Sus scrofa: one gene and its partner. The protein of the gene in region 2 interacts with the protein of the main gene of each other region in a pairwise test. Links are inferred from orthologs where the notes say so. Each region holds a gene or a part of one and is shown on either strand. Other genes may lie near its edges. The genes, in order: RAB29 and C2H11orf49.

The links.
Region 1: the proteins of C2H11orf49 (region 2) and RAB29 interact in a two-hybrid assay, tested with the Homo sapiens proteins (2 studies listed by BioGRID and IntAct). The two-hybrid records come from large-scale screens. The link is inferred for Sus scrofa from reciprocal best matches to the Homo sapiens genes CSTPP1 and RAB29.

What each region holds. Positions count from the first base shown.
Region 1 is NC_010451.4:66,448,648-66,452,463, forward strand, and holds the end of RAB29 (ras-related protein Rab-7L1), read right to left. Parts: intron 3,416-3,816; coding exon 3,294-3,415; intron 2,606-3,293; coding exon 2,494-2,605; 3' UTR 207-2,493; downstream 1-206. UniProt on the Homo sapiens protein: The small GTPases Rab are key regulators in vesicle trafficking. Essential for maintaining the integrity of the endosome-trans-Golgi network structure.
Region 2 is NC_010444.4:15,558,060-15,561,875, reverse strand, and holds part of C2H11orf49 (UPF0705 protein C11orf49 homolog), read left to right. Parts: intron 1-955; coding exon 956-1,058; intron 1,059-3,816. UniProt on the Homo sapiens protein: Regulator of the tubulin polyglutamylase complex (TPGC) that controls cytoskeletal organization, nuclear shape, and cilium disassembly by balancing microtubule and actin assembly.

The DNA of each region.
Region 1 (3,816 bases), on a different chromosome or scaffold from region 2:
ACCACTTGGGAGAGAAAATCCAGAAGGGCTGGCAGCAATGCTTGAAAAGGCAGGAATATCCTGTCAGCAAATGGGAAAAGGAAGCATATTCAATTTTTGAAATGGTCACATTTCCAAGCAGTATTTGAGAAGCTACACCAAGTACTGAACTGGAATGAGGCAACTCATACTAGTAAATTAACAGATAACCAGAAAAATTATTTACCTCAATTTTTAAAGAATGTATTTGAAAAATGTATCATTACCACAACACCCCATTGGTATAAAATAACACTTTGACAAATTCAATTCAAGGCCAATAACTACTATGAATGTAATCCTTATTTTCCATTTATTTGTGATTTTGCAGGGGTTCAAACCAGTGATTAAAAAAATCAATTTTCTTCTCACAGAGAACTTGTTAGTCCACTATTATTTTCAGAATCACTGTAATAAAAACCCTACCTGAAAAGGGTTAATACGAAAGAGAACTTGGAGGTCTCCAAGGATTGTGCAAAATGTTTAATAATTCGCATTAAAAGCAAACCACTGAAGGCTCTGCTATTTGGCCTCTGCTCTCTCTTAGGACAGTGCTTGTCAAAGGCTGGTGCGTGTCAGGATCACCTGGAGAGCTAACGGAGCCCACAAAAGCCCAGAGTCACTTCTGAAGGGAAGGCCTGGGTCTCTGTATCTTTATCATGTTCTCCAGCAAGGGTTTCCACGTTGGGCTGATCAGAATCACCTGGGAAGACGTGAAAAACAAAAGAACCACAACAAATTCCCAGGCTTCACGCCTGGACATTTTGATTCAATAGACTGGAGGCGGGAGTTCCCGTCATGGCTCAGTGGAAACGAATCTGACTAGGAACCATGAGGTTGCAGGTTCGATCCCTGGCCTCGCTCAGTGGGTTAAGGATCCAGCATTCCCATGAGCTGTGGTGTACGTTGCAGATGCGGCTCTGATCTGGCATTGCCGTGGCTCTGGCGTAGGCTGGTGGCTACAGCTCTGATTAGACCCCGAGCCTGGGAACCTCCATATGCCACGGGTGCGGCCATAAAAAGACCAAAAAAAAAAAAAAAAAAAAAAAGATTGGAGGCTGGGCTGGGAATCAAAAATCTTACAACATTTTATTTTTAAAATTTTAAACACATTTCCCAGGTGGTTCTGATCCGTCAGATTTGACGGAAGCATTGACTTAGAACACTTATTTTGATAAGTGTCTCACAAAGAGCTCTAAGCCTCTGAGTTCACTAAGAATATTCATAACTTTGAGTAGGTTATAAATCACCAGCCTGTGAGAATTTAACAAATTAAACCGTCTAGAAGTGATTTGATACTTAAAAACTCTATCCAATTTAGCACTTAAATTACCTAATGATTTTCTGTCTGTATACTCTCCACCCCCAGGCAAACGTCTATACATGATATTTATTTCCTATGGCTGTTAAGTGCGAGCCACCGATAGCGCTCATGGAAGTTGCCCCACAGGATTTTGATCTGTTAACCTCTCCCTCTTCTTCCATTCAGACTCTCAGAGCTGAAAGGTATAGACCAGGGCACCACAGCCAACGGATGGCCCTGGTGGCGTTATGTGGCAAGACACCAACCCAGAAACCTGCAAACCCTGCCCCCATTCCACTGGGAGAGACACAGCAGAAAATCTTAATGTGATAATTCATTTCTTTGGAGAAAGAGGCCCTCTCACCACGTAAGACAGATAGTTTAAAAGCTTGACTTTTTGTTTGTTTATTTTTCAGCCACACCTGTGGCATATTGAAGTTCCCTGGCGAGGATCAAATCCGAGCTGCCACTGTGACCTTCGCCACAGCTGCAGCAATGTTGGATCCTTAAGCCACTGCATCAGGCTAAGAATCGAACCCAAGCTGCCAGAGACGAAGCCGGATCATTAACCCACTGTGCCATGGCAGGAACTCTAAGCTTGACTAGTCTTAAAACCATGACAAGAGAAAGCTAATTGTGTCTTCAGCTTAAAAAAATACAGTGACTTTTGGTTTACCTTCAGTAGCCCCAAACGCACTTCTGCAGCTCAGAGTCTGACAAAAAGAACCTGAAACCAATGACCTACAAGGAATTGGGGAAATGACCTTTGATCTCATTTTCCTTGCAACCTGAAGTCCTATCAGATGGAGATATCAATATACATTGAACGGAAAAAAATCCACTCAAAAGCACGTGAGAATGATGATCCTTAAAATATAGATGCTGATTTCTAATCCTTCCTACAAAATCCCAGCTCACAAATTGAGGGATGAGACAGTTTTTCTTCTACAGAGGGCACCGACTGAGCCCTGGAAGCCAGCTGCAAGCAAGAGGCAACTTGCAGAAGCAGAAACACACAAGGGTCCAAGGTGTTTTTTCTTAGGGACGATGGCCCTCCTTACCAGATAGTTGGCAAGAGACAGTTCAAATGTACTTAGTAAAATTGCTGGGTGGGTAACCAAAAGGCAGAGAAAGACCTCCTAGGACTGTGAGCAAACACAAGCCAAATGCTATTAGCAGCAGGTCCAGCTGGAGGTGGGCTTGGTGTGCAGGTTAATGTAGTTCCCTTGGGTGGACAAAGACATTTCTTCTTTGGAATTGCTCATCATCTTTTCAATGAGGACTCTAAAAAAACAATAAAAAATAAGCCTGAGAACCTGGATGGAAGAAAGGGAGAAATGTCAGACGTTGTCTATGCCTACAGCATGTGGAAGTTCCTGGGCCAGGGATGGAACCCGTACATGAGAGTGACCTGAGTTGCTGTAGTGCCAACACCAGATCCTTAACCTGCTGCGCCTCAAGGGAGCTCTAGACATTGTCTTTTTTTTTTTTTTTTTTTTGGCTTTTTGCCTTTTTTAGGGCTGCTTCCCGCGGCATATGGAGGTTCCCAGGCTAGGGGTCTAATTGGAGCTGTAGCTGCCAGCCTACGCCAGAGCCACAGCAACACAGGATCAAGCCACGTCTGCAACCTACACCACAGCTCATGACAACGCCAGATCCTTAACCCAAAAGCAAGGCCAGGGATCGAACCCACAACCTCATGGCTCCTAGTCAAATTCATTAACCACTGCGCCACAATGGGAACTCCATAGACAGTCTGTCTTAAAACCAGATGGCATTCAGCAGAGCCAGTTACAGGATTTCAATGCCCCTCTCTCCCTAGCTATCTCAGGAGAGAAGACAGCAGCATCCCTGACCTTCAGAAACTGGCATTCCAGTGGCTCGGTCTATTCTCATTTGTTTAGAAACAAGAAAAGAAGGTTCAAAATGGGTGAATCTTCGTGCCATCCCCAGAACAACACGCGCTACTCACCTCATCGCCTCGTTAATATTTTTGTTCTCCTTGACTGATGTTTCTGTCCAACCTGTGAAGCCGTTCTCTTTACTGAACCGGTCAACCTGGTCTCGGCTCACCGCCCAAGGGGATAGATCACACTGGCAAAGAAAATAAATAAAAGTCAACACCATAAACTTTCCAAGGACAGGAACATTACTCAGATACCTGTGATTATAAAACAGTGCCACTATGGAGTTCCGGTCGTGGCGCAGTGGTTAATGAATACGACTGGGAACCATGAGATTGCGAGTTCGATCCCTGGCCTTGCTCAGTAGGTTAAGGATCTGGCATTGCCGTGAGCTGTGGTGTAGGCTGCAGATGAGGCTCGGATCCCGAGTTGCTGTGGCTGTGGTGTAGGTGGCTACAGCTCCGATTAGACCCCTAGCCTGGGAACCTTCATATGCGGCAGGAAGCAGCCCTAGAAAAGGCAAAAAGACAAAAAATAAAAATAAAAATAAAATAAAACAGTGCCACTAATGGCTAGAAAACAACATCTAAA
Region 2 (3,816 bases):
GGCTCCAATCTGATCTCCGGCCTGGGAACTCCATATGCCTCAGAGCAGCCAAAAAAGAAAAAAGAAAAGAAAACAGGTGAAAATCAAATAAGTATCCAAGATTAAGCTGTCTGAGCAGAGCCATGACTCCAGCCCAGTTCTAATACTCATTACACCCTTTATCCCTTTATTACAAGCCCATGATTGTCACACCTTTACCAGTCACAACAAATGTGGAAAACATGATTTCTGATAAATCAAGCCACACAGATTTCATGCTCTTTATTATTTACCAAAGTTATCACTTACAAACCTTTACTGAAATTTTCATGGTCCTTAAACTTTTTCAGTGGCTTTTTTTTTTTTTTTTTTTTTTTTTTTTTTTTGCCACATCCAAGGCATGCAGAATTTCCCAAGCCAGTGATCAAACCCACACCACAGCAGTGACCAGGGCTGCTGCAGTGACAACACCAGATCCTTAACCCTCTGTGCCACAAGAAAACTCCCAGTGACTTTTTTTTTTAATTAAAGAATTGAGTTTTCTTTGCAATCAAGTCATCCATGTTTCTGGTGTAGAATCACTTTTCCCCTGGGATAAATTTCTGAGACACGCAGAAGTGGAAGAGGATGGAAAGAGATAGGAGATAAGAATGCCCAGGTGCTTCTGCCAAATGATGCTGAAGCACCTCACCCTCATCACTGAAATGAAGAGTGAAGGGTTGATGTTAATACTAACAGCCAGTCAGATGGAGTAGGTCATGTTATATCGTCTCCCATTCTACCCTTTGAGAGTATGTCACTTATTTTGCCAGCAAGTTTTGTTTGCCTATTCCAGTCTACTTCCTATGGCAGAACCAGCATTTTGAGTGACTTTCATGGCCTCCTGCTGGGACTGGGATGATGATTTTTGTTTTGTTTCGTTTTTGGTCTACTTCTCACTCTCTCTTTCTCTCTTGCTTTTTCTTTATTTTTGTAGCCCAGCGACATGTCCTCACATACATGGAAGATGCGGTATGCCAGCTGCTAGAGAACAAGGAAGATATTAGCCAATATGGCATTGCCAGGTTCTTCACTGAATAGTAAGTACGTGAGTGCTTTGCCAGTAGGGCGGGCCCAGAAGAGGCTTTAGGAAGCAGCCAAGATATATGAAAAGTAGAGCAGGGCAATGCTGATTATGTAGTGGCAGTGACTGCTTAGCTTTGGTAGACTGGTTGAGGGCTGCCCAGACATGTTTTGGAACGTGCCTTTGGTGCAGCTAGTTTTGTCCAGTGGTAAGTCTCATGAGTGGACATAACTGCAGAAGCTCGACTGCTGGTTTGAGCTATTAAATCTGTTTCCTTAGGTTCCTCTTATAATTTTTAACTTTTCCCATTATTCGGATAGTCACTCTGATTTCCCTTCGTCATTGTTCCTTTAGTCTATGTTTTTCTTGGCTGATTTTTTTCATGGAAATGCTTCGGATGATATTCCTGTGCAGTTTTCTTTCTACAGGATATTGTGCCAGTCATGTAATGATTTAAGACTATTTCTAGAGGCAGGATACCTTCCATAGATTATATCTTTGAGAAGTTGTACAAATGTAAAATATGCTTGGAATGTGTAAAAGTCAAAGTGATTGTTATTTTCAATTTATTAAAAATGTTTTTTCTGTTTCGTTTTATTTTGTTTTTTGCTTTTTAGGGCCACACCTGCAGCATGTGGAAGCTCCCCTAGCTGCTACAGCTGCTGGCCTGTGCCACAGCCATAGCAATGCAGGATCCGAGCCACATCTGCGACCTATATCACAGCTCACAGCAATGCCAGATCCTGAACCCACTGAGCGAGACCAGGGATCAAACCTGCATCCTCATGGATACCAGTCGGGTTTGTATCTGTTGCACCACAAGGGAAGCTCCTTCACGTTTTATTGAGATGTAATTGACATACAACACTGTGCACATTTAAGCATAGTGATTTGATTTACATGCATCATGAAGTGATTGTCTTTTTTTAGAGCAAGTTTTTTTCCCTTTAATACTCAATTAAATAGATAGTTGTAGGTATAAGTTTTGTATGTACATAAATCTGGCTGAGGTGTTAGTTGGAGGCTGGCTTTCTGGTCCTCCTCATTTTTCTGAGACTCTTTCCCATTTTAAAGTTGACTTTGTCAGGGATAAAGTTTACTAATGACGATGTGTAGTAGGCCAGTGTGGTGCTCAAGAGCTTAATTCCTCTAGGTTTTAGCCCAGAGTTGCTTCAGCTCTCTCTTATGTGTCTTGGATCTCCCATCTAGGACACCACGGGTGCTCAGATCGTCAAATGGCCAGTTCTTATTCATGTCCCTGGTTGAGCTTAATTAACAAATGAGTTTTAATTAATGTTTCCCTGTGGGACCACTGCACATCATGAGGACTCCACCGCCCCCATTAGATCTCTCAGTCACCTGAGAAAACTGTAATCAGCCAGGAGGAGTCTGATCCCTTTTCTTCGGAGCAAACACTCTCATCTAATACCTTCACCTTTATCCCAGCAAATTTCATTACAGCAGATGAATTAAGGAAAAGCATCAGATCAGCCTCTTACCTAAACACTCAGTCCAGACCCCTAAGTCTCTTTCAACTAAGCAAGCTGAGGGTATTTTAGTCATTGGTTTATAGCCATAAGTTGACTAGTCACCTGCGATCTTCCCCAGGGAACTGCCTGATGGCGTTTCAGAGATGTTTCCCATATTGGCTTTATTTTTCCGTAGCTCACAAAACTGAGGTCTAGGTTAGAACCTCTGTCAAAATCTTTCCTAGGTTATCATCAGATGGATTAAATATTCGAGCACAAAACTGAAAGCAAAACTGAATCCTCACCAGCCAAAAGGAAGCCACAGAATTACCAATGGGATCTCCTGAAAGGAAAATCCTCAAATGGGAATCAAAGGTTCTCCAGACAGACAATGTCCAGGGAGCATGCTAAGCGGTTCCAAATTGGCTTCCAAGTCCCACTGAGCCCAGGACCTTAGTCCAAGGGACTCCTTACAAATAGGATCTCCCAAAAAGAAAATTCCCAAATGGGAACCGAAGGTTCCCCAGATGGACAAGATCCAGGGGGCCTCAGAGTGCATGCCAGGGGACTTACCCAGATGCTGGCAGAGGTGTCACAATATCCCAGATGCTACTTTTCTCCTTCCCAAAAAAGTTTCTTGAAGTGGAAAGTTTGGGTTGGCAGCAGAGGGAAAGGAAGGAGATCCCTGCAGGCTGGTGGAGCCTCAGCAGCTGCTAGGGTGGTCCTTGCCTTCCAACCACATTTCCAGCCTAGAGTTCCAACTCCCGAGATGGCCAGTCAGGTCTCTTCGGGGGCCCGGCTCTGTGGCAGGAAACTCTCAGTGATCTGGCCTCCAAAAGAGTCCTCTGTTCACCCAATGGGATACTGGTATGGAGAAAAACTTCAGAGCCTTTGATCAAGCTGAGAGCCCTGAGGGGCCGTCTGCCCATGGCAAATCCCAGACGAGCCCCCAAAATTTGTTGCTGAAGCCTCCGTCTGCTGGTGCCAAATACAAACTCAGAGACAGAATTTTGAGTGAAGGAGGAAAAGATAGCTTTATTGCTTTGCCAGGCAAAGGGGGCCACAGCAGGCCAGTGCTTAAGGACTGTGCCCCCATGAAGTGATTACAATAAGTTTAGTGAACATCTATCATCTCATATAGATACATAATTAAAGAAGTAGAAAAAAATTTTTTTTCTTGTGGAGTTCCCATTGTGGCTCTGCGCGTTAAGAACCCAACTAGTATCTATCAGAATTCAGGTTCAATTCCTGGCCTTGCTCAGTGGGTTAAGTATCAAGTGTTGCTGTGAACTGTGGTGTAGGTCA